Linked DNA regions of Stegostoma tigrinum. The protein of the gene in region 1 binds, or shares a complex with, the protein of each later gene. Links are inferred from orthologs where the notes say so. Each region holds a gene or a part of one and is shown in the gene's direction. Other genes may lie near its edges.

Region 1 (8,036 bases):
AGCAGCACCTCATGTTCTGCCTTGGAACCCTACAACCCAATGGTCTCAATGTGGACTTCACAAGCTTCAAAACCTCCATGCTTCCGACTTCATCCCAAGAGCTGCATCCCCCTTCTCATCCCCACCTCCTTGACCCATCCGTCTTCTCTCCCTCCTATCCACTCCACTATCTACCTGCTATTACAGCCCCCCACTTCTCTCTATTTATTTCAGAGCCCCCTTCCCCTCCCCCATGTCTGAAGAAGGCTCTAGGCCGAAACATCAGCTTTCCTGCTCCTCTGATGCTGTTTGGCCTGCTGTGTTCATCCAGCTCTACACCTTGTTATCTCGGACTCCAGCATCTGCAGTTCCCACTATCTCTCATTAATCTAGTAAATCTTCTCTGAATTGCCTCCAGCACATTGACATCCTTCCATAAGTATGGTCACCAATACTGTACATGATGTTTATTTCTGATTATTTCAATGTCAGTTTCTCTGTGGATTGTGGTCTAGAGGATGTGATAGTCTTGTGGTATTATGGCCAGACTAGTGAGCCAGAGACCCAGGCAATTGGCTGGGGACTCAGATGTGAATTCTGCCATTGAATTTGAACTCAATAAAAAAATTGGAATCAAGAATCATGAATCCATTGTCGATTGTTAGAAAAACCCATCTGGTTCACTAATGCGCTTTAGGGAAGGAAACTGCCATTCTTACCTGGTCTGGCCTACATGTGACTCCCTGCCTTCAGCAATGTGGTTGACACTGAACTGCCCTCTTGGCAATTAGGGATGGGCAATAAATGCTGGTCTAGTCAAGATATGCCCATGTCCTGTGAATGAATTTGTTTTTAAACTGTGTCAGTGCTTTATCATTTAAAATAATGTTTCTTGTTCTTCGGGTCACAAGGACTATTTTTCCAGTCCTTGTCAATGTCAATGTCTGAGACCTGTTCTTCAGTACATATCCACCATGTCTTTCCTCAAGTTGGTTATAGAATCTCTACTGTATGGGAGCAGGCTATTCCGCCTATCCAGTCCACACCGACCCTTCGAAGAGCATTCCACCCCCTACCTGCATTTCCCACCCTCAACACTATGGGCAATTTAGCATGGCCAATCCACCTAACCTGCGCATCTTTAGACTGTGGGAGGAAACCGGAGCACGCGGAGGAAACCCACACAGACACGGGGAGAAAGTGCAAATTCCACACAAATAGTCGTCCAAGACTGGATTCAAACCCAGGTTCTCTGGGCTCTGAGGTAGCAGCACTAACAACTGAGCTACCATCCCTTCAGATGTAACAATCCCCTCTGCACGTGTACACCCATATCCCCAGATCATGGCATGCAGTTTTGAGTTTTAGGTGATCTTTTCAACAAGTCAGAAAAGAAGGCGTAAGCATATCTATCTTCCTTACTTTCTCCCCATGTTTCATGTGGTGGCCAAATCATCCAATTTTCTTAAAAAAAACAACCTCATGGTTAAAAGCTCACGTTTCTCCAAGACAGAGCTGTCAATGAAACAATTCCAACTGCACTTTTCTCTCACTGTATATATCCCATTTAACCACATCTCCCATTCAATCTTGTGCAATTTCCCTTCATTACCTTTCAAATACATGAGTAGGAAGGGTATAGAGGGATACAGAACCTGTAAGTGAGGACAGGGTTAGCATGGAAGGGTAAAAATCTGTTGGTGCAGGCTTGGAGGGCTGATTGTTCTTTGGTTCTAAATGGGGCCATTCCATTATTAACCATTCAGTTTGACTTTGGGGTGTTATAACAGGGAATGGCCAAACCCCTCTGATAATTAAACTAAAACACAAGCCCTGATCTGTTATGACAACAGTTGGCATTCCCCTCTAATAATTACCCCAAAACACCAAGTGAAGCTGGTCTTTCCCCTCATAATCTATTAAAAGACCGGTTTAAAGAAAGAAAATCCCTGATATCCACTTTACAAAAGAACAAGAAACAAATTTATTTATTTAACCCAACAATTAATAAAATTACAAACCAACAATTCCCCCCTTGTCTACTAACTACTCCCTAACTGATTTAAATTCTACTGGGATGGCATCTAAATAAAAACAAGCCCAACTAATATAAACCCAATTAATAAAAAGCAATAAATTATAACTTAATCTCTTCAAGTCCACACAGACTGTCTTCTCCTATCTCTTCACTAACACCTCTCTTCTGTTAAGTCTGCTATCAGGGATGTTTTATCTCTATAATTTTTTCAAATGAGGACTTTGAGCTAAAACGCTGTGGTACCTTTGATTAAGTACATGTGCTTTCTCTGAGAGCTGAATGGTGCTAACTCTCGTAAATGGCAGTTAGTTCTCCCCAATTTTCCAAATGCCCTCATCTTATATACCCCACATGACATAATCAAATTCTTATAATATGATTGGTTTCAGGGTGATGGTAACACCATCATATTTAAATTCTGTTGGCTTTCTTTATCTAGGTGCTTCATTGAAATTAATTGGCTGAATTCAAACTTGTCACAACATCAAAACAAAACTACTGTTTTACCTGCCACTTGTAAGGTCTTTTTGCTATGCTTGTTTCACCTTTTGAGGTTCGCTATGCAGGCAACTTCAGCTGCTGCTCTCAGACATAGAAATGTTTATTTTTAAAAAATTTCTAAGTACAGACAAGGCACAAATCTTTTAAAGGAGCCACACATTTTAGCTTCCTGCCTCCCACTTCACATTTACTCTAACCAGCTTTGTAATGGGGGCTCTGAAGAAGCTTTACTGTCCAGTTTAAAAATGTGCTTTTGTAACATCTTTAAAACAGAAATGAAACATTACTATGTGGGTTCTAAGCATTATCAAATTCTGTTTGTTTGTTCTTTCTTAAAGGAAAATACAATTTTCACAGAAGTAACTTTGCTCGATGATGATTGACATTTCCTTCTTTTAAAATTATCCCACATTCAAACATAGCAACAACAGGTTTGAAGGTTTCTTCTGTGCCCAGCCTCAGTGGGTGCTGTTGGGCTGACAAATTTTGTTTGTGGCTATTTCTTTTTTTCCCCGAATGCTATTTTCCATTTTTCTTCTAAAGGGAGGCTGAATAGGCTGGCCCTTCTTTCACAAGGAAGTTGAGGTGTGACTGTACAGATGTTTATAAAATCATGATGGGCGTGGATAGGGTGAATTGCAAAGATCTAAATGACTCATGATACAAATTAAAACCACCTAGGTTGTTTCCATTGGACCTGGTTTTAAATTAAAAATTTAAAATTTACATTTGATGCATCCTCTGACGCACAAGCAAAAATGCAGAAGATAAAATGATATGATCTTTGAGAAACTGAGCTTGACCAGTTCAAAATCAGGCATGATCTTATTGAATGGTGGGGCAGGTTTGACGGGCTGAGTGGTCTGTTCAGGGTCCTAATTTGTACAGTTGTATGAAATATCTTTCCACACTGTATGCAGGTTCTCGAGGACGGACATTGACCACAAGGGCAACCTATTGTCACATCTTCTTACTAGCTGCCTTGAGGTTCCAGCAAGTAACGCCCAGAACGCACAAGGCTGCATGCCAAGTGCTGGAAAATGGGATGAGGCTGGACAGCTGTTTCTTGTATGCAGTGCACCCCATCCTCTATCCACTTCCTACATCCTCCTGTTCCTGGTCTCTCATGGAAGTAAAGTGGAACCATGAAGCAGGCCATGGATCCTGTGTGCCTCTGAGTGGTCAGTTTGGCCAAAGTGACCAGTCGAGCACTCATCTCTCTCAGGATCTCTCCACCCTCTACCTCTTCTGGTTTCCCACATTCTCTTCATCTGCCTTCTATAACCCTTTGGAAACCTCCAGCCTCTGTTCCAGCCTCATTTCCCCTCAGTCACAGAAATAAAACAGATTTGTAAGAGTAGGCCCCAGCGAGATTTGAACTCGCGACCCCTGGTTTACAAGACCAGTGCTCTAACCCCTGAGCTATGGAGCCAGTACCATGACTAAGCTGGAATCAGAGCCTCAAGGAACTGTTGCGCCCAGTTTTCCATTTAAACTGCAGGGGGCAGCATCTCCGGAGGTCGTAGGCCAAATACACCGATCAAATCGGGCAGAGTTGTGCGAAACTATCCAACCACGGGACTCGTGGGCCGCTCATGGCACCAACTTTTATACCCGACCGCTCAAACGTTGCCCGTTGCTGTTGGCAGGGCTAGTCCGGACGTCTGCCCCGAACTGAGATGGCGGCCCTGCTCACTATGGGCAGCAACCCAACGCCTCGCGGCCGCCGATCGCCCCGCATCAACATGGCGGACGGCCGCGCGCCCCGAACTAACATGGTCGCACAGCCGCTTGTCCCATACTGGCATGGTGGACAGCCGCTCGCCCCGCATGAAAATGGTGGCGCAGCCGCGCACAGGGCAGCGGAAGCGGTTCCCGGCGGGCCACGCGCGCATTGCCCCGGAAGTGAGTGTGGGTGATATCCGGTGGGAACTGAGAGTCCGGTGCTGGCGGCTGAAGGAGCGGTTACCATGGGAGCGAGTGGAGACGGCGGTAGCCCGAGTGGGGACGGCAGCGGCCTCCCGGAGCATGAACAGCTCGGCACGGTGAGGAGAGCAACCCCCGGGGCTCGGGCGGCGGATCGCTTCCGGTCCGACAGGACAACCCCCACATCATCAGATCCGCCCGGGGCCAAGAGGGGGTGAACCTCCCACTCACCACCCCCCGGCAACTCCTCTTCTTCCCGCCCTCCCCCCCCACTCCTAAACAGCCCACCCCACTCTGCCCCCACAACCCCTCCCACCCCCCCCCAGAACTCCCCCTCCCACCCCCCCCAGAACTCCCCCTCCCACCCCCCCCAGAACTCCCCCTCCCACCCCCCCAGAACTCCCCCTCCAGCCACCACAACCCCCCCACCCCCCACTCTCCCACCCCACTCTGCCCCCACAACCCCTCCCACCCCCCCCCAGAACTCCCCCTCCCACCCCCCCCAGAACTCCCCCTCCCACCCCCCCCAGAACTCCCCCTCCAGCCACCACAACCCCCCCACCCCCCACTCTCCCACCCCACTCCGCCCCCACAACCCCTCCCACCCCCCCCCCAGAACTCCCCCTCCCCCCCCCAGAACTCCCCCTCCAGCCACCACAACCCCCCCACCCCCCACTCTCCCACCACAACCCACCCCCCACTCTCCCACGGCGCGCCCCCCCCCCACCACCGCTCTCTCCCCCATCACCCTCCATCTCTTGCCCCTCCCCATCACCCTTCCAACCGCCTGTAGCCACCCCCATCAACCATTCCCATCCAACCTCCACTTCCATCAACACACCACACTCCCATCACACCCTCCAACTACCATCATCCACTGCCTTCAGACCTCTGTTCTCTGCAGTAAAAATCACCGTAACACTGAAGAAAACTTTTTGTTTTCCTTCCAACTTGTGCAAGCCATGACTAATAATTAATAAGTCAGAATTTTTTTTATGTGCTTGGATCAAGTCATTAACTTTTGCAGTGACCATGGGAGTTTGAGAATCAGTACACTTTCCTAAGTGGGTTGTAATAAAATTTTGTGCCTTTGCTGAAGCGCTGGAACCTGGTCCTTCTAGGTTTTAGCAGTCATGGGTTAGAAGGCAATGGTACCGAGCCAGAGGGGGTTATGCTGCAATGAATTGGATAAAAAGCTGATGGTGTGTTGCAGGGCTCGATGGATGGGGGTTGGGTTGCCTAGCGTGTTGTTCTGCCTATTTGGGGCAGTGCACTGGGAATCAAACCCTGCTATTCCTGAAGTTGTCACAAAACTTAACATTACCATGAAAAATTGCCCTATTTCACTGTCTTTTAGACTCAGGATGATAGAGAACATGGACCGGATTTCTGTACTTAAGCAAACTGCTCATTGTTGTGAGTGATTAAACTCTAGTTACAGGTAAACAATTCTGAGCCATCAACATATCACTCTACTGGTTAAAACTCTAATCCCCTTATACGTGTCTTTGCTCACAAACTGACACAGGTTTTAAAAAAAAACATGGATGTTATGGATGAGGGGAAACTGGGAAAGCAGTTCAGTCATCTCGGTTCACAAGATCTGCTGAGATAGTTCTTGTGCTGATCAGAACACTTTGTCAGTTTTCCTTCTCTGGGTGCTTTCACTGGGTTGCAGGAGCTGGGTCATACTTGTGAAAGATTCCTGACTTATTAACTAATAGTCATGGCTTGCATAAGCTGGAGGGAAAACAAAACTAGTTTTCTTCGGCATTAGAGATAACAAAGTGTGTAGCTGGATGAACACAGCAGGCCAAGCAGCATCTTAGGAGCACAATGCTGGTTGGCCTGCTGTGTTCATCCAGCTCCACACTTTGTTGTCCGTTTTGTCAGCATTAGGATGGCTTTTACTGCAGAGAACAGAGGTCTGAAGGCTTCTCGTTATTTTGTTCACAGTCCCAAGCTAAGTACCTGAGAATTGATCTCAGAGTTTTTGGCCTGACAGAGGGTACTTATTGTAAATAACTGGTTTCTAGTCCACAGACAATCAACTATTTGTTGCCAATCGAACCTTCACTTATACACATCTCTTGGCTCCAGGCTAATCTTCAAAACAACACTTCAAATGCGGACAAGTTGGACCGAAGGGTCTGATTCTGTGCTGTATGAGTCTATGACCCTATAACTACAGCTTGAACAGTTCTACTATTCCTGCCATTCCTAGGCGGTTCCTACTATCTCTCAGCTTGAACAGTCAGCTTTGTAAAATAAAATCAAAAGAGCTGCGGATTCTGTAAATCAGGAATAAAAACAGAAGTTGTTGGAAAAGCTCAGCCGGTCTGGCAGCATCTGTGAAGAGAAATCAGAGTTAACAGTTCTGAGGGACGGTCACCCGATCTGAAACGTTAACTCTGATTTTTTCATCACAGATGCTGCCAGACCTGTTGAGCTTGCCCAACAACTTCTGTCGTTGTTTCAGCTTCTTTAAATGAAGCTTGCAATGACTGTTAGGTTGTCTGCATTCTAAACATGCAGCAATCCTTAGTTTTGAAGCCATTCTTTTCCTACATTAGTCCACAAACAGAAATAGAAAATTAAAAAGATGTGTTCTTTACAAGAGTGTGCTTTTAGTGACAGGCTTTGATGCTGCCTGAGTTGCTGTTGTGATGATCTTACAAGGTTTCCCTGTTTTCCAGAATCCCTGGAACATTATGATTAAGCACCGCCAAGTTGCTCGAAGGGGTAGGAGATCACAGATGGCAGTGAGGTAAAACATTTTTATTGATTTTTGTGAGAGTGTATTCTCTTCAGACCTGGTCAAGGATCGGGAATCTGCATATTAGACGTGAAGTTGGAAGAAGGATTCTTTACCAATCTGTTAATTCTGGCTAGCACCAGTATTAGGCCAAATTACCTGATTATTCTTAAAAACTCAACTGGGTCCATTGGTGCCCTTCTCTAAAGGGAAGCGGCTATCCTGATTTGGTGGGCCACCATGTGACTCCAGTCACTCAGTACATGGCTGACTTTTAGGGCAAATGGTGTTGGACAATAAATAGAGTATTGAAAGAATCTCTTACATTTCATGAAACTAGAAGTATCTTCAACCTTGGCCAGCTGTGAGAGACAGTCTGTGTTTACAGCTAGCATCATTAGACTTTAGGACTTCTTGGATTTCTGATCATAAGTTTGATTGGGCCGATCAATGCTGGGGGATTTCCTGTCTGAGAATAGAGATCAGTCAACAGAACTGATGTGGCAACAAGAAACACTAGAAGTGAATTTATTGTAATCTCAAACTCACTGAAATAGCCTCCGCTTGTCAGATTCAGAATCTTTTGCCTGGGTCCCCAGGCTGTAAAACCAAGAGGAATGGCTCATTTGGGGATGGCCTCAACCTGAGCCCAGGATGTAAGCAACAGACCCTCCTTACATTCCCCTCTGCATATTGAAGAGAGGCTGCTCCCCTATCACTCTCACTGTATTGTGTTGATACTGTGAGGTAGCAGTGTTAATCACTGAGCCACCGGGCTGCCCCAGCTGGCATACAGGACGAAAATGCTAGATAACACCCATTCTTCCTCACGAAAGG
Region 2 (8,221 bases), on another chromosome or scaffold:
ACTGTATTGTGGTCAAATCTGCTTAAGGATGTGAAGGTGGGGAGGAAAACAAGGAGGATTCAAAGAGGTACAAATGGATTTGGCCAGGTTGAATGAGGAAGCACAAAAGCAGCAGAAGTGGGAAAAAGAGGGTTGGGAGGAAGAATGGAAAAGCAGAACATCATTTAGTTGGAGACAGACTGCAGAAAGCTCCAGTCCAGCACAATCAAGGACATCATTTAAATGGCGAGAGACTGCAGAAAGCTCCAATCCAGCAAACCTGCAGGTACAGCAAGTATTTAGAAAGGCAAGTGGAAAGTGATCTTGATTGTAAGGAGATGGACACCCAGCTATAGATATTCAGGACTTTGGTGATACCACATCAAGAGGACTGTGTACAATGCTGCAGATTTTGCTTAAGGATGGACAGACCCACACAGAAGGCCTTTCAGGGAAGGTTCGCTTGGCTGACTCCTAGGAGATAAGTCTCTCCTTTTTGTGAGAGACCCTAACAAGTTGGGCCTGTATCCATTGGAATTTAGAAGACAGAAAGGTGATCGTACTGAAACACGTGTGATCTTGAGGGGTTTTGAGTATGGAGGCAGAGATGATGTCTCATCCTGTTCCTCCTCCTTCACTCAAAGGGTTGGTGGTGTGTGAAATTCTCTTCCCAAGACAGCAGGGAACATTGGGTCATCAAATGTACTCAAGGCCGAGTTGAATAGAGCTTTGAATTACAAGGGACTTGAAAGGGTGGACAGTAAAGTGGGATTAAGATTGCAATCAGACTAGATCAGTCCTTAGAGCCCTCTATCATTAAGATCATGGCTAATTTCAACATTGACTTGATTTGCCCATAATGTAACTATTTCTCTTACAACCCAAAATCCAATTACAATCTCTCCAAACTGTACACAGCGTACATACAACCCTGTGCATTTGAGGCTTCCAAAGATTCACAACTCTTTAAGTGAAGGTATTTCTCCAGCTCAAGCATAAATGTCTACCTCTTTGTCCGAGGCAGTGACCCCACGTCATCAATTCCCCAGCCAGAGGGGATGCTTTCTCAGCATATACTCTGTCCAGCCTCTCAAGAGGTTCACAATTTAATTAGATCATCTCTCATTCTTTGAAACACCAGGGAATACAGGCCTAGCTGACTCATAGGACAATCCCCATAAACCAGCAACCCACATTAATGAACCTCTCTGACATTCATTTGGGACCACATACATCATTCCTCAGGTAAGGAGGCCAAAACTAGACACAGGACTCCACTCGGTACTGTAGCGAGGTGTCTTAAATCCCTTATTAATGTACAAAATAGGATAAATAAGACCAGCCCTTTAAACCTACTCCACCATTCAATGAGATCATGGCCAAGCTCTTCTTGAATTCTTCGTTCCCATCTACCCATGATAACTCTTCATTCCTGTTGTCATCAAATAAAAACATCTACCCATGCCTCAAAAATATTCAACCACCTGACTGGGTGGAAAGGCTATTTCCTCTTGTGGTTTATAAGGCTCACCCATTTTAAACAGATGATGAAACATCTTTTCTTGGAAGTCCTTTCCTCAAAAAGCAGTGGATACAGGATATTTCAATATTTTTAAAGGCAGTGGTGAACAGATCCCTGATTACCAAGGGAATCAAAGATTAGTCGGTGATACACAGCAATGTAAAGTTGAGGTTAAAATCATGCCAGAATGGTGGAACAGGCTTGAAGGGCTGAATGGCCTGCTCTAGTTCTTACATTCATATATCTTCACCCATAAGAGTACAGGGCTTTTCACATCTGATATTCCAATCCAATTCAAGCAAATGCGAACACATCTGCTTTCCATGTAGTCACGGTCTTTACAATGTCTGCTTGAAATACAGGGTGCGGGGAGTTGCAGGAAGCTGGAGAGTAGTAGCCACAATCTCACTGAATGGGCTATCAGTCTCGACGGACCGAGTGGCTAATCGTGCTCCTAATACGTATGCTCACACATTAATGACAAAATTTGCTCAGACATCCAGGTCCTCTGGAGGCCGACATCCTCCAGACACATTACTACCAAAATGGAAAAAAAAGATCAAAGTTGTTGAAAATATAAGTACGGCTGAACTTTTTAGGGGCACTACTGATGGTATTTCTGATTTATTCCAACCCTGTCTGCTCCAGTCAACGCAGCAAGTGTCAATCCCCATCAAATTGTCTGTTGCCGAGACTTCAGCAAACTCAAACAAAATTTTCCCCCACCTCCCTCGCCTCCGTTTCCTCCCTGCTTATTTGCTGCAGGTTACGAGACAAGTTGCCAGAGAAAGGGTGATGCCGGCGGTTGGGGGTGGTGGGGGTGTGGGGGAAGTGGAGGGAACCGGTGTCAGGGCTCTCAGTAGCAGCTCTACAGGAGGTTGAAAGTTGGATGAAGGTAGTTGAGTAAAGGGGTGGGCCTGCTGGAGGGGGAAAATGGCTGTTCCCGCAGTTGGCAGCATTGTCCTGTACCCCCATGAGCTGCTATACCCACCTGGAACCTGTATCCTTATGGTGTCCTGTTCCCGCCTGGACCCAACTCAATGCAGTTTGCAATGCCTTGTTTCCGAAATCATAACATACCAAAAGCACATCATTAGCTGCATTGCCCCAGGCTTGTGAAAAATACAACACAATTTCAAGCCTTTCTTTCGGTATGTCAGATCAGGAATTCTGGCCCTTAAGCTGCAACCACTGTTTCCACTCCTTGTTAATGTTGTTTAAAATTTTAAGTTCTAAAGGCTTGTAATAGATTATTTATTACATGATTGCCCTATTGGCAGATATATTCTCTATCAGAACAAGTTCCATTAGCTCACAGCAATTTGAGCTATCTGCAATTTCAGTCAGACCTTCCACTTAGGAATGGGATAGGCCATTCAGCCCCTCTGGCCTAGTTTGCTGCAATTCAATAAACTCATGGCTGGTATGATTGTGGCGTCAGTTCTACTTGCTGACCCTCCCTCACCCCCTCCATATCCTTTGACCACTTTCATAGTCAAGAATATGTGTACCTCTACCTTAAAAAGGTATTCAATGATGTCCCCCACCAACCCCACCCCCAATCCCAACGCACTTCATCACTCTGAAAGGAAGACAATTCTAGATGCCAAATACCTTCAGATAGAAAACATTACCCCTTGCCTTTAAAAATAAAGTGACCCTCTCATTTTTAAAGAGTAACCCATAGTCCAGTCCATTCCACAAGATGAAATATCCTTTCACCATTCACTGCGTCAAGTTCCCTCAGGGTCTCACAGGCTTCAAGAAAATCATCACTCATTATCTAAATGTCAATGGATACAGGCCCAACCTGTCCAATCTTTTCCCATGAGACCACCAACTCCCAGTGCCACAAAAAACCAAGAATTGATAGAGTCAACCTTCACTGAACTTCCTGTATCACACACACACACACACACACACACACACACACACACACATTCTGAAATAAAAATGGCCAAAAAATGTACACATTATTCCAGGTGCAATCTCACCCTGGACCCATACAACTGTTCGTTTTTCATTTTTATTTTCTGTTCCCCTACAATAAACAGCAGCACTTCCTTTGCCTTTGATATCACTTGCTGTGCCTGCACACTAACTTTTGTGATCCACGTACCAGAATATCCAGATCCCCCTGTACCTGAGATTCTGCAATATCTCTCTAAATAATGCTGCTATTCCATTCTTCTTGTTAAAGTGGACAAGTTCATATTTTCCCACATTACATTCTATCTGTCAATGTTTTTGCCCACTCACTCACCCACTGTCTTTATCCCTTTGCAAACTTCTTATCTCCTCTTCACAACTTACTCTCCTAACTACCTGTGCCATTCTATTTTCACTGATCTGGCAAATCTGGCCCAACAGGGACACAATCTTCAATCTCAAGCAGTAGGAGTCAAAATATCTTAGAGCATTGTGGATTGGCAGAGTTTACAGGAGTATAGACAGAGTTGGGGCCATGGAGGGGAATACCAAAAAGAAAGGTAGCATTAGTTAGCCAGGAGCTGCAAGTTTTCATGATTTAAGAGACCCCAACCAGGAGAGTGTTGGAATGGTCACCTTTAAGAGGCAAAGAACTAAGTGAGGGTTTTAGCAGCAAAACAGGTGAGAAAGCTGTGGGGTTAGGTGGTTTACTGTGGTGAAAATAGATAGTCTGCTGTCTCAGACTTTCAGTTGAAAGTTTATCTCAGGATCAAACATACCAGCAGCATAACAGTCTGGTTCAGTCACCAACAGCTGACAGGGTCAAAGAGATGGCTTCAACAGACAAGGAATAAAATGGTTTTTAATTTGTTCGTGGGTCACGGAGCCAACATTTATTGGCCATCCTTAGTTGCCCCTCGAGAAGGTGGTGGTGAGGCTGCCTTCCGGAACCGCTGCAGTCTACGTGCTGTACATTAACCCACAATGCTACTAGGGAGGAAATCCCAGGATTTTGACCGAGCGACGCGTTTCCAAGTCAGGACGGTGAGTGGCTTGGTGGAAAACCTGCAGGTAGGGGTGACTCTGTTCATGTCGGTGATAGAGATCGAGAGTTTGGAAGGTGTCTGTCAAAGTAAGTTACTGCACTGCAAATTGTAGATCGTGCACAGTGCTTCTGAGCCTCAGCGCTGGAGGGACTGGATGTGATGCTATAGCCTGGATGGTGTATAGCTGCTCAGGTGAGGTCTCAAGGCAATTGCTACGGGTTAACTAACCAATATTCCCAGGATAGAGGCCAAGGATTTAGACAGTTTGACCTTTTACAAATCACAATTCACTAAATTCTAATTGCATATAAAAAAAATTCACTGCAGTGAATTCGTTTCTGATAAAGCTCCATTAACAGCAACCCTTTAACAGGTATCAGCGTGTACGCAAACTCCTACCTAGCTGGATTTTATTAGCGATGTCCCTGTACTATCAAAATAAAGTGTAATGGTATTTATAAAACAAGTCAAAGCCTGTGCATTTCAAACCAGAAATTCTTTACAATATTTACTAAATACAAAGGCGGGCCGAACAAGATAATTATTCTCTGCCCTATTTAACAGTCACATGTTTCCAGCCCAGAGGGAGAACAAAACAACAGAATATAGCAGAACACAGGCCTTTCAGGAACCGAACTACTTCATTTTCCTATGGGGGGAGGTAACCGTGCAACTTCGGTACAGTATCGAGGAGTTGAAACGCTCACTGTTTCTGCCCTTCGCAGATCTACTGAGTACTTCCAGCATTTTCTGTTCCCATTTTGCAGCTATCCGATAATCACAGCTCAGTGTGGCAAAGAGAGAGTGTAAACACGAACAGTAGCTGCGTTCTCGATACAACCGACAGGTCGCGTCCTGCAATTCCGCTTTTCCATTGGAATTAAAACCCCACCCCGTTTTCGCTTTTTTAAAAAAAATCCAAACAACCTACTCCGCCTTCCCTCAACTGGTTTTCACATTCATCAAAACACGTTGAGCTCCCAGTAAGACAACTCCCCCAGAAACTTCACAACCTGTGCAACTTCGTGTAGGACGCAACACCTAACCAGCCCTTCAAACTTGCAACACAGCACAACGTGATTGCAACAAATTGTCCCCAGCCAACTTGCAAGCGTTATGAGGCCGCCACTTGTAACAATATACCATTCCGACCTTTTTAATGAAACGTGGGCAAGTCCAACTTGAGATAGCAACTGCAGCTTCCACACCCCGCCCCAGGGGACACGTCTGCCTCAGCCACAGGGCAATGGAGTGCAGAAAATAGTCCTTTCAGTTCTGGTTTGGGGGGCGGAGGTGGTGAAAGAGAGGATTACAATCGCGGGAGGGAGTTTAAGAACAAGGGGAAAAAATACATTTCAGAAAAAGACATTTCCAAACAGCCACTTCTAAACAAAAAAAAAGTGGCCGTGGTGATTTGCTGACAGGCTGGGTCCTTGACGTCACTGCATAACTTTTACGAAGACGTAGTTTCTTAACTAGGAAGTGAGCCACCAACTGTTTGCAGGCGAAATTAAAAAGTTGTGGATTGAGAAACTGCTGGGCGATTTGCAAGGGGGAAAACAAACACTCTGGCCTGTGTAAGTTACAGAAGTTTTTTTTTTAGATCTCCTTGACCCTTCTCCCATGGCCTGGTCTCTGTCTGTATATGTGCGTGACTGTGTGTGTGTGTGAGAGAGAGAGAGAGTGGGGTCAGTGCGGATATTGATCCAGCTTCTAGCACTTCGCTTGGTTTCAGCGGCCTGCTCCTTAAATTGACGCGAGCAGGTGACCCCCGCAGTTTGCAGACAGAGAGAAAGCGAGATAGTTGAGGCAGAGTGAAATAGAATTTCTCGAGCTGATAAATTACATCTCCATTTTCGCTCCCCACCCTTAAGTGTTTTCTTTGCAAATGACCTGGCCTTTTTTTCTAAACAGTATTGTCTTGTGCAAACTTTTGCTGGTCAAAGTGACACGCCGCAAAAGAGGAAAAAAATGCACGAAATAGAATTGAGGTTTGTGTAACATGAAATTCTGAAAGCTTGCATTTTAAGCACGTTTGGACTGACTTCGCTCTTCCTGGTATAGCCCATTGCAAGTCTGCACCCAGTGGAAAGTCCCGGTGTATTTACAGGATTTAAAGGGGCTGCGTGCCATTTGGGTTTTATTGTTTTCGGTCGGCCCAACAGGAAATAGTGAACACAGGATTGTTTGTGCATGGAGTGTAGGGAGGTGAAATATGTGTGCGATTTTTAAAAAAAAATCCCCAAACCGCGTTGGTTGTATTTTGTTGCATTCGAGGTGAAGGGATTTCGAGAAGTGCAGGGGATGAGCTGGTGCTGCAGGGATCATGATTGTGCAATTGTCATGTCGCTTGCAGTTTGTGTGTGTCTGTGTGTGTTTTCAGCCCGCGATGAGGTAAACTCTATGACTCAGCCTGTCAAATGCAAGCTCGCCACAGCATTGCGATGGTGTACAGAGGCGGGGGCAGCAGCACACAGAGAAAGAGAGAGTGGTAATGGTGGTGATGTGGGGGGTGGAGGGAGAGGTGGTGGAGATAGGAGGTGGAGGTGTTGCTGCTGCTTGTATTTTCCGAGTCTTATTCATCCGGCTCTGGGCTTCCACAGGTATGACTTCCCTCAGCTCCCCCGCCACCACTGTGACCCCGGTGTGTTTGTGAACTGAAGTTCTGACACGCCGGTGTGATTTGAGATTCTAATCTCGTTAAGATTTTGGTTCTTTTTTTCTCTCTCTGTGATCTGGGATTGATTTGTAGGCGGCGTGCTTCTTCTATAACCCACAGATTTGCTGTCTGCACAAAGTAACGCCGCTTTAATGTGCTCTGATGTTCACTTTTAAAATGGCTGTTGGGACATTGCCAAATAAAAAAAGGTGGGGGTTGTGGAGGAGGAGGGGGGAGAGGTGGTGAGTGTGAGAGCATGAGGCTTCTCGATGCATCCAACGTGGATCTTTGCCACAGCCCTCAGCATGTCATGATCAATAACCCGGCACTATATCAATGCAGGGCCTCTCTGTCAGACTGAGACAAAGTCTTTCTGGGTTCACTGTACTGTACATTTGTGTGTGGGAGGCAGCTTTGGTATTGGTATTTTAATTTGGGAGGGACGGTTCGGGGGGGCGGTGCGGGAATAGGTGGGCGGAGGAAATGGTTTCGATGTGTTACTTCTCAAGATGTGAAGATCCTCTGGCCGTACTACAGGCAAGTTATTACTGGCAAAATGACTACAATAAACTGGGGGAGGGAGGGCTGCAGTTCCCCAGGCTGAACTACTTTGTTTCTTTAGGGGTTTGGGAGTATTTGGGTTAGAAAGAGACGGAATGAAGGCTGGGGAACTTGCACTGCATGCTTTACGACTTGCTCTGCACTCCAGGCTGCTCACGTGGAGTTTAGTGCTATCTTTTCGCTCTCCTGTTGTCACTGAATATCACAACATCTGGGGATGTGGGTATACGGGGCTTTCTGCCTGAAGTCTAAGGTTTAGGGAAATTACTCAGACTTGAATATCAGAGGGTTGAACAAGTAAGTTTGCAGATGATACAAAAATTGCTGAGTGTAAATAGTGAGGAGGATAGCATTAGATTATAGGAGGCTATAGATGGGCTGATCAGAGACAAATGAATTCAATCCAAATAAATGTGGGGTGATGCACTTGGGCAGGATGACCAAGGCATGGGAATATGTGTTGAACAGTAGGATCCTGGCAAGCACGGAGGATCAGAGGGACCTTGGAGCATGTGTGGCCCCTTA
Region 3 (8,387 bases), on another chromosome or scaffold:
TCTACCGTGATATCTGAGTATTTACACCGTAAATAAAGTATAGCCGTGATATGTATACCCCCGCATTGCAGCATTTAGATTTAAAGGGGAACATACTTTGAGACATTATTTATAATACCATTACATCAGAACAGGAGAAGCAAGAGCTGAAAATTGTTGACAGGTTTGAGGTATCATCTCTGTAATGGAGATGAAATTCTGAAGTGATTGGAACCATGTGGACTTCTTTGACTACAAGTTTCTTGATTGCGGTTGTTACCCTGGGCCAGTCAGGAAGTACTGCATGACTTACCTTGGTTGATCAAGGAAGCTTCTCACTGTTATGCACTTCTTCGATAGTTGAGACTGCACTGACTTAAGTGGCTAACTCTGCTGAGAAAACAGTGGCAGTTATAGTCATGTTTGTTAACCTGGGCCAATCAGGAGGTCCTGGGTGACCAATATTAACAGAGGGCCTGACCCTGACCTGGCTGGCCGTAGTCACTGTGCTGTGCACAAGTAAATAAAGGGTGATGTGGTGATGGGCTGCAGGCCTCTGTGCATTTATTTCACATTCGGAACTGAAGAAGGAATATTGTGACCTGACAAGTTCATTCTTTTTCTCCATAGATGCTGTCTGATCAGATGAATGTTTTCAGCACTTGGTTTTTTCCCCAATTTACCTGTATTTGCACTACTTTCTTCATATCACTAAAATAGAATAACAAAGTTAAATGATCTGCTCTCACTTTTTATTATAAAAGAGTTCCAGAAGAGATGAGTTATTCATGTACTATGAGTGGTTCGAATTAAAATCCAACAGACTGTCAATTGCTATACCAAAATATCCGATATCATTTGACACAAGGAATACTAAGAGCATGAATGATGGGATCAAAAAGATGATAGATCCATCAACCAATAAGTTGCACTCAAAACAAAGGAAAGGAGATTGTCCCTGAGTACAATAAACATTTGGAGAGATGGGTGGAACACTACCTTGAATTGTGAATATGGTTAGTGAGGCAGGTTTGCATGCTACTTAGAGCTTGCCTAACATTGAAGAGCTAGATAATGAATGGCTTTTGGAGGAACTAGGTAGAGTCACTGATTTGTTGCCATAGGCAAAGCGCAAGACATGGATGCCATACTACCTGAAACAATCATGCACAGAAAATTGGTGTTCCTGCAACAGTTGCACAAATATGTGTCTGCTGGAGGGACGAGAAGTGCCTTAGAATATGCCATGGGGGAAAAGGTATTTGCCCGTGTTGCTCTTCTTAGATTAGAGATCCTGGATGAGCACATCTATCTTGAATCTTGTGGCTTCAGAACTGGGAGATCCACAGTTGACAAAATTGCTCAGTCCAGCAACTGTAAGAGAAATGCAATGAAGGGTGGACCTGACTATAATAGCCCCCATTGTTCTCATCAGAGTTAGCCACTTGGGTCAGTGCTGTCTCAACTATCAAGGAAACGCATAATAGTGAGAAGCTTCCTTGCTCAGCCAGGGAAAGTGTCTCCATCTCCTCCCTGCTGCCTCACACTTGCTCTATCTCTGCTGTTGCACCTGTCTCCCACCAAACTCATGGTCCACCATTCATACCATTGCATGCATTATCTTCTCTTCTTGCCCTCAGCCACTCAGTCCTTCTAAACATGCATGGCCACAGCACTGTCTACTTATTCACTTGAGGCACTGCTCCACCTATCCTGACCTGCACCAGCACTAATAGCTGTGCCAGTCACTTCCATCACTTGCAATTCTTCCCTTTCTCTCATTCTAGGAGAAAAAGGACCATAAAAGGGCAGAAAGAACCAAGACAGATGGTGGAATGTTGGCAAGTGATTCCTCATCCCCAGCTATCATTGGAGCCAGGCCCATTCCAGCAATGTCCGAGACCAGTCCTATAGAGGTACTGAAACCTTTGTTCATTGTTCATCTTCATTGCTGCCAGTAGGAATGCATTCTTAATACACCAGAATTTGTTTCCGACAGTTTTTGTTCCTTTTGTCTTCTGCAGGCATGAACAACATCATCATAGTCTCTGCTGTTAACAGACCTGCTGTGCAAGACATCACCTGCTGTACCTCTGAGGAAGAGAGCATGATGTCTCCAAGAATGTCCTGGCAAGGTTGCCCCCAATTACCACTACCCCTCCCCCAACCCCAGAATAAAACAGAACAGCTCAGATACTGACACTTTCGTGGTAATGTTAACTAGATTGCAGTCAGGTGCACGTGGTAACGAGCATATCACGGTCAAATCTTCACATAGCTAAGGAAGAAATGCACCATGTGTCTGGCACTCTAGGGACTGTTTGGTGACCAAGCTGCTGTGCAGTCCCAGGCCATTTGTGACTTAATTGAGATACACAGGCAGATGCAGGAGCAGTAGGCAAGTTGTCAGCGGCACTGGATAACCCTGGTGGTTAGGTTGCAGGACTGCAGCAGTGGCATTGGAACCCTGCTGCTTCTGCATGCGAGTGGCTCACTGCATGGACTGGTTGGTGGCTGCCATGGAGTGCTGAGCCCAGTACAATACCTGCTGGATATATATGCACATCTACACTCCACCAGTCCAGGGGGTAACTGGCCATCAAGGTGGAATTTTCTAAAGTAGACCCAGGTAATGTTGGAAAATGTGCCAGAACCTCCTGACAAGTAACAAACTGATGCCGCTTCAGCAAGAATTGTATTGATCACAGAAAATGAAAAACAGGAGGAAAAATCAAAAGCAACTAACATTGTAACACCTGTCCGAGGTTTTCAAGCTAACTGGAGAGCTAAAACTTTGCAAAGATAAACTTCATTCCAAAGAGGGATCATTTTTAAGTTCAGCAGGGAGAATGAAAGTTTTACCACTTGCTGCACTGACCTTTATCAAGAAGACCCCAAGGTATGACCATTCATTCAAGCATTCTACAAACATCAAAGTGAGACAGAAGAAAATCCACCTTACTAATTGTCACTATTAACTGTTCTTGTGAATTGTGTTGTAGAAGATAGGTAATAGAAGTAGGATTAGGCCATCCAGCATATCGAGTCTGCTGTGCCATTCAAACAGCATGGCTGATCATGTACCATTGTGCCATTTTTCACTTCAATCTCCATGTATAAACGTGTTTGTTATTAGCAAGTGACGTGCATTTCGTATTTAGGTTACATGTTGGGGCTAAAAATGTTTACTTGGGAATGCATGTCCAATTTTTTGCACACAATTAAATGGGATTAAATTAATGGTAAATTAAATGGAGATAGCAAGAACTGCAGATGCTTAAGTCAGAGACAGCACAGTGCGGAGCTGGAGGAACACAGCAGGCCAGGCAGCATCAGAGGAGCCGAACAGTTGATGTTTTGGGTCAGGACCCTTCTTTCCTGCTCCTCTGATAGTGCCTGGCCTGCTGTGTTCCTCCAGCTCCACACTGTGTTGTCAAATGGGAAACCTTGCTTTGTTTTAAGTAGCGATTTCCAAGAGCATAACCGTTAATTAAAGCAAGGTATTGTTATGGATTGAAGGCGAGAGCACCCTCTAGCGTAAGTTCATTACCACTTAGCATGCAAAAATAGCTCAGTAAAAACATTTAAAGTTATGGAGATGATGTAAAAGTACACCTCAAGTAAGCGAGGAAGGATAGTGTATTGTTTTAAAGCTTGTCAGTTTCTTCTATGATTTCCTTGCAAAGATATATTTTGAAAATTAGTTATATTTACTGAAACTAACATCTATGCTTAATAGATTGTTGAAAAAAGTTGCATTTATATAATGCTGCATATTTTACAGATAATTGATAACTTTTGACCACTAGTCACTGTTGTAGTTTAGAGAAACTGGCAGCCAATTTGCATATACCAAATGCCCACAGAGCAATGAGATAATGACCAGATAATTGCTCTGTTTATTGACGATGTTTGTTGTTGTGTGCTCATATTTATTTCTCTGAGACAAAACTTCCATGCTTCTGGGAATTTACTTGATTTCTTTTCCCCTGGTGCGCTGCTGTTATCTAGAATAGGCGAAAGAGAAACCAAGAATTTCAGCTGGCTGTCTTGACTTCACATTTCTTTGCTCCTTTTCTTGCTCCTCCTGCTCACAGAGCCTTGAAGTCATCTTCCTTTCTTCTCTGAACTCCTTTCTTGAACTTTTGAATAATGCTTTCCATTCTTGAGAACTCTTAAAACTCATCTTTTTGACTAGGCATTCCACCCCCCCAACTGATTCAGTGTTTATTTGTGATGTAACTGTGAACGTTTCTCTGTATGAAATGTGAAATTCAATTGATTCTTCTAGAATCCCTCACTTTGTGCCATTCCCTGACCTTTGTTGAGCATCCTACAGGCAGAGCCAACAGCAGAAATTCATCATTGGGACAGTATTGATATGTTATGGGTTACGGACTTTTATTTTTGTCAAAATATGTGTTCGATTGTGCATTTTAATCAAAAATATAAACAATAAATGACTGGCTGAAATTGTCATTTTAATTCATGTCTCTAATAGTAGCATATATTTTAGTAGTTTTTTTTAATCTTGAGTTTAGGGTTTTCTCTGCTGTATTTCAGGGTGTGAAGTTGTAGTTGCAATTCTTCACCCAGTTTTTTGTTTGCTGATTTCACCTGTTTAAAGGAGTTGCCGAATGAAGGTATGGCAGTTTTCTGCTTGGACAGGGAAAAAGAAAATGGAGGGCAAACCAACTGCTTCCCTTTCCTAACACTTTCGACTAAAAAAACCTACTCCTTTCTGACCTTTTGCAATAGTTTCTGTTGGAGAATAATTCATGGTCTGGAGAAACTTAAATAGAAGATTGTAATAAAAAAAACTAGAAAATTAATTCTGTATAATTACACCTTTACTGGCTACCAATTTTTTGTAAATTGAATCTGTCTCTAAACTATTTTTGTTTCTATTTTATTAAAGCTGCAGCAATACACAGAGTAAAGAAGAGGATGCTTTTGCATAGGTTCATGCTGTGAAAATTAGTTGACTGCTGTTTAATTCTACAGAAGGATATTCCCAAATCAGGAGCTATGGATTGCTACAGTTTCACCGATGAGAGCTCTCTCCAAACCGAAATGCATCTGCCTTTGCTATCAGACAGTGAGTTGCCCATTGCAAGTAATATCCAGAGACAAGAATTCATCCCAGACCCTGATGATATTATTTATGCAGGAATGACAAGTATAGACCTTGATTCTAACCTGGAGACTGCAGAAATTCCTGGCGATCCATTTGCTGACAATGTAGATCTATCCCTGTGTACTGTAGATAAGGGATGTGACTCCCCAAAGATTCCCAGTGACTCCACGGACACAGATTCTCCACCCATGTTGCTAGGTACTTGAATGTGCATTTTTCTAAGCACAGCAGTGCTCTTATAAGTATTTGCTGCTGGGATAAACTTGATTTCCTGCTTGTTCAAAATAAATGCCCAGTCAAAATTACTTACTAACACCGAACTTTTAACGGCTCCGATAAGATTTTATTAAAATTTGTATTAACTTTCCTAATGGCCTGTTTATGAAACTGCCTAATAACATGTCAGGCTGTTCAGATCCACAGTTGTTTGTGCTAGGATAGGCAGAGCAACAGTGGGCACTACAGTTGGCCTAAGCCTCCCTGGCTAGGAAATAGAAAATCTTCCAGTGTTCTTAGTTCTGATTTAACAAATCCTACCGGTTAGAAAAAGAAATTATGAATGGTGCGTGCAAGGAGGATCAGAATGTGCATGTCATTCCCTCCTCACTTGAATAGCTTGATTACTTTTGTGCTTAGTCTTACACACACACAATAACAGAGGGCTACAACCATTTGTATGTATTTCACTATAAATCTTATCTTTCAGAAGAGCAGACAAGACTGCTAGGAAATAAAAAGGAATCTTAATCTGTGTATTTTCTGAGCCATCTCCCTCTCACACTGTTGGCAGAAGCTACTGAGAAATGGTAGAAACAGCCTTGGAAGCTAATTTGCAGGGTTTCTGCTGAGATTGTGACAGGAAATTAGATAATCTTTGAGGAAAGCGGATAAGTTTTATGTTGTAGATGTTGAATAGTTATTTTTTAAGCGTGGATATATACCCAAAGAAGGCCAGTTTGTTCTTTGACTCTGACTCTGAAACAAAGCTCAGGAATGCTTGGAAATGTACATATTGGTCCTCCATTTTAAAGTATACAGATGAGTTGGATCAATATGTCACATTCACCAGTTTTATATTTTCCCATCTGGGAAGGCATTCCAACTGACTTATTCCATTATAAATACACTGTAGTATCTACTACCTAGAAGAAACAACTTTGTGTGCTATCTACTGTATTGAATCATTTTTCTGTCCTTATATAGTCTTGCTCAGAAAGACACTCACAATTGTGGCTGTCAGAATTGTAGACCAGAAATCAAAAATTAGTGTGATAGGTAAGAGAACCAAAAGAACTGCGGATGCTGTAAATCAGGAACAAAAACAAAGTTGCTGGAAAAGCTCAGCAGGTCTCGCAGCATCTGTGAAGGAGAAAACAGAGTTAACATTTCATTAACTGACTTCTGAGGAAGGGTCACCAGACCTGAAATGTTAACTCTGTTTTCGCCTTCATAGATGCTGCCAGACCTGCTGAGCTTTTCCAGCAACTTTGTTTTTATTCACGGTAGGTAAGAGAGCCTGTTACTCCCAAATATTCAAGTAGACCTTTAGCATGGGTAGGTCAGCTTTCTGTCTGGCTTCCACTATGCTGATATTTATTCATTTGTTTTATTATCTGAATGGTAATGCTGTAAAGGTTACCTTTTTGATTTATGTGTTTTTGTTATAAAAGCTGCTAACAAGGATCTTGTGATGCGCTTGTACCAAGACTGCTAAATGCTTCATGGAAATCAGTTTTGTTAGAGAATAATCGAATGCTGTGCATATGGATTTTGTTTTTGTATTTAGAGTGCCAATGTTTTTCCTGTATATACTCTTTATTTGCCTCAGTGTGTCTTTTTGAATGTTTTAAGATTCATTTGCAGTAGTGGAAGTTACCTTGTGATACCACAGCTGTACAAATCCTATCTAGTGGTTGTCAGCAGCTTTTTTTCTGGTCAGCAGTGTAACTGAGCCCCATTCTGTTCCCCCCACCCCCAACTGATGTCTACACAACAATTTATAATTTGATAGCATCTGTGTAGTGACATACCCAAAAGCACTTCATGGGAGCATAACGAAAAGCAGAATTTGATGCCACTGCACGCCGTTATTTAGGACAAATGACCAAAGTCTTGGTCAAAGAGGTAGAGTTTAAGGAAAGCCTTAGGAGAGTAAAGCAGAGGGGTTAAAGGAGGACATTACAGAAAATAGGGTATTGCAGCTGAAGATATGCCTTCCAGTCATGGTGTTTAAAATCAGAGATACTCCAATGGCTAGAATTGGAAGGGAAGAGAGATCTCAGAGGTTTGTAAGGCTGAAATATTGCTGGTTTTTCCTATTGACTTTTTTGTTACAGGTATTAGTCCACTCCCTCAAAAAAATAGTCCTGAGAAAAGTGGAGGTAAAAGTGAAGTGAAATATGGAGGGCTGCAGAAGAGAAGGCGTCTCTCCGCGAGGCATTCTCCGCAGCAAGCATTTCAGGTTAGCACTGCAACTGTTGTTCTTCTGGTTCGTCTGGTTTTAGGGCCCTAAAAAGAAATCTGTGCCAAGAAGTTTTTAATCTACATTATATTTGACTTAGTTTTTTTTTAGAAAGCTGGAGAACACAAACCAGTTTTGTCAAAAATAATAAGTTCTGATTTGTTCTGTAAGAGTAGGATATATTAGGGAGACCAATAGGAATGTAAATATTAACTGTTACAGTTGTTTTATCTTTATGTTGAAACCCATTTGAGGCAAAAATAGATAATTAGTTTGTATATTCTATTTTCTAGGAATGTAGCCAATGTGGAAAATCATTCAGCAGTGCCAGTGCTCTGAGCAAACACTACCTGACGCATAGTCATGAACGTCGGCATGTCTGCAGGATCTGCAATAAGGCCTTTAAGAGACAGGACCACTTGTGTGTGAACATTATGTAACTCAGGAATTTCTATTAGTTATTTTTCACGCACAGCAGATTTGCTTTGTCTACCTGGAATGAAACGAAATGCCAGGTTTTGTTTTATTCATTACAAATCAGACGCAAGTTCGATATTTGTGATTAAATTAGGCATTCCCAGTATTCATGTAATTAACATGCGTCAAGTCCTGTAAAGGTAACAGTGCCTGTCCAGCATCATCCCACAAACTACTGCATGAGATAAGCAATCAGCTAATTTGCATTTACGGGTCTTGGTTGAAAGAGGGTTATTGGCTTGAAAAACAGAACAAAAGTGACTGAAAGGCATTGTACCAAAACCTACCAGGTTTTTTACAGGCTACTAGGAGCCAGATTTAAAAGTGACGTTA

What was found.
Region 2: the proteins of deoxynucleotidyltransferase terminal-interacting protein 1 (region 1) and mideasb are in contact, whole or in part, in a cryo-EM structure (PDB 6Z2J), measured with the Homo sapiens proteins. The link is inferred for Stegostoma tigrinum from reciprocal best matches to the Homo sapiens genes DNTTIP1 and MIDEAS. Residues at the interface, in NP_443183.1 of Homo sapiens: Pro63, Ser66, Leu69, Leu70, Ala72, Val73, Leu74, Pro76, Ser77; in NP_001036783.1 of Homo sapiens: Gln768, Asp771, Leu772, Thr774, Ala775, Ser778, Ser779, Ile802, Leu803, Leu806.
Region 3: deoxynucleotidyltransferase terminal-interacting protein 1 (region 1) and zinc finger protein 541-like share a complex: the UniProt entries of both Homo sapiens proteins name them as parts of the histone deacetylase complex. The link is inferred for Stegostoma tigrinum from reciprocal best matches to the Homo sapiens genes DNTTIP1 and ZNF541.

Annotation. Positions count from the first base shown.
Region 1 is NC_081372.1:57,376,637-57,384,672, reverse strand, and holds the start of deoxynucleotidyltransferase terminal-interacting protein 1, read left to right. Parts: upstream 1-4,423; 5' UTR 4,424-4,488; coding exon 4,489-4,563; intron 4,564-7,140; coding exon 7,141-7,211; intron 7,212-8,036. UniProt on the Homo sapiens protein: Increases DNTT terminal deoxynucleotidyltransferase activity (in vitro). Also acts as a transcriptional regulator, binding to the consensus sequence 5'-GNTGCATG-3' following an AT-tract.
Region 2 is NC_081363.1:86,352,213-86,360,433, reverse strand, and holds the start of mideasb (mitotic deacetylase-associated SANT domain protein), read left to right. Parts: upstream 1-4,414; 5' UTR 4,415-4,501; intron 4,502-5,183; coding exon of another isoform or gene 5,184-5,223; exon of another isoform or gene 5,224-5,335; intron 5,336-5,628; exon of another isoform or gene 5,629-6,053; intron 6,054-6,979; exon of another isoform or gene 6,980-7,079; intron 7,080-8,221. Other genes in the region: ptgr2 (prostaglandin reductase 2), read right to left, coding at 5,184-5,223.
Region 3 is NC_081392.1:18,939,050-18,947,436, forward strand, and holds the start of zinc finger protein 541-like, read left to right. Parts: upstream 1-5,145; 5' UTR 5,146-5,151; coding exon 5,152-5,314; intron 5,315-7,452; coding exon 7,453-7,577; intron 7,578-7,870; coding exon 7,871-7,998; intron 7,999-8,387. UniProt on the Homo sapiens protein: Transcription regulator which is essential for male fertility and for the completion of meiotic prophase in spermatocytes.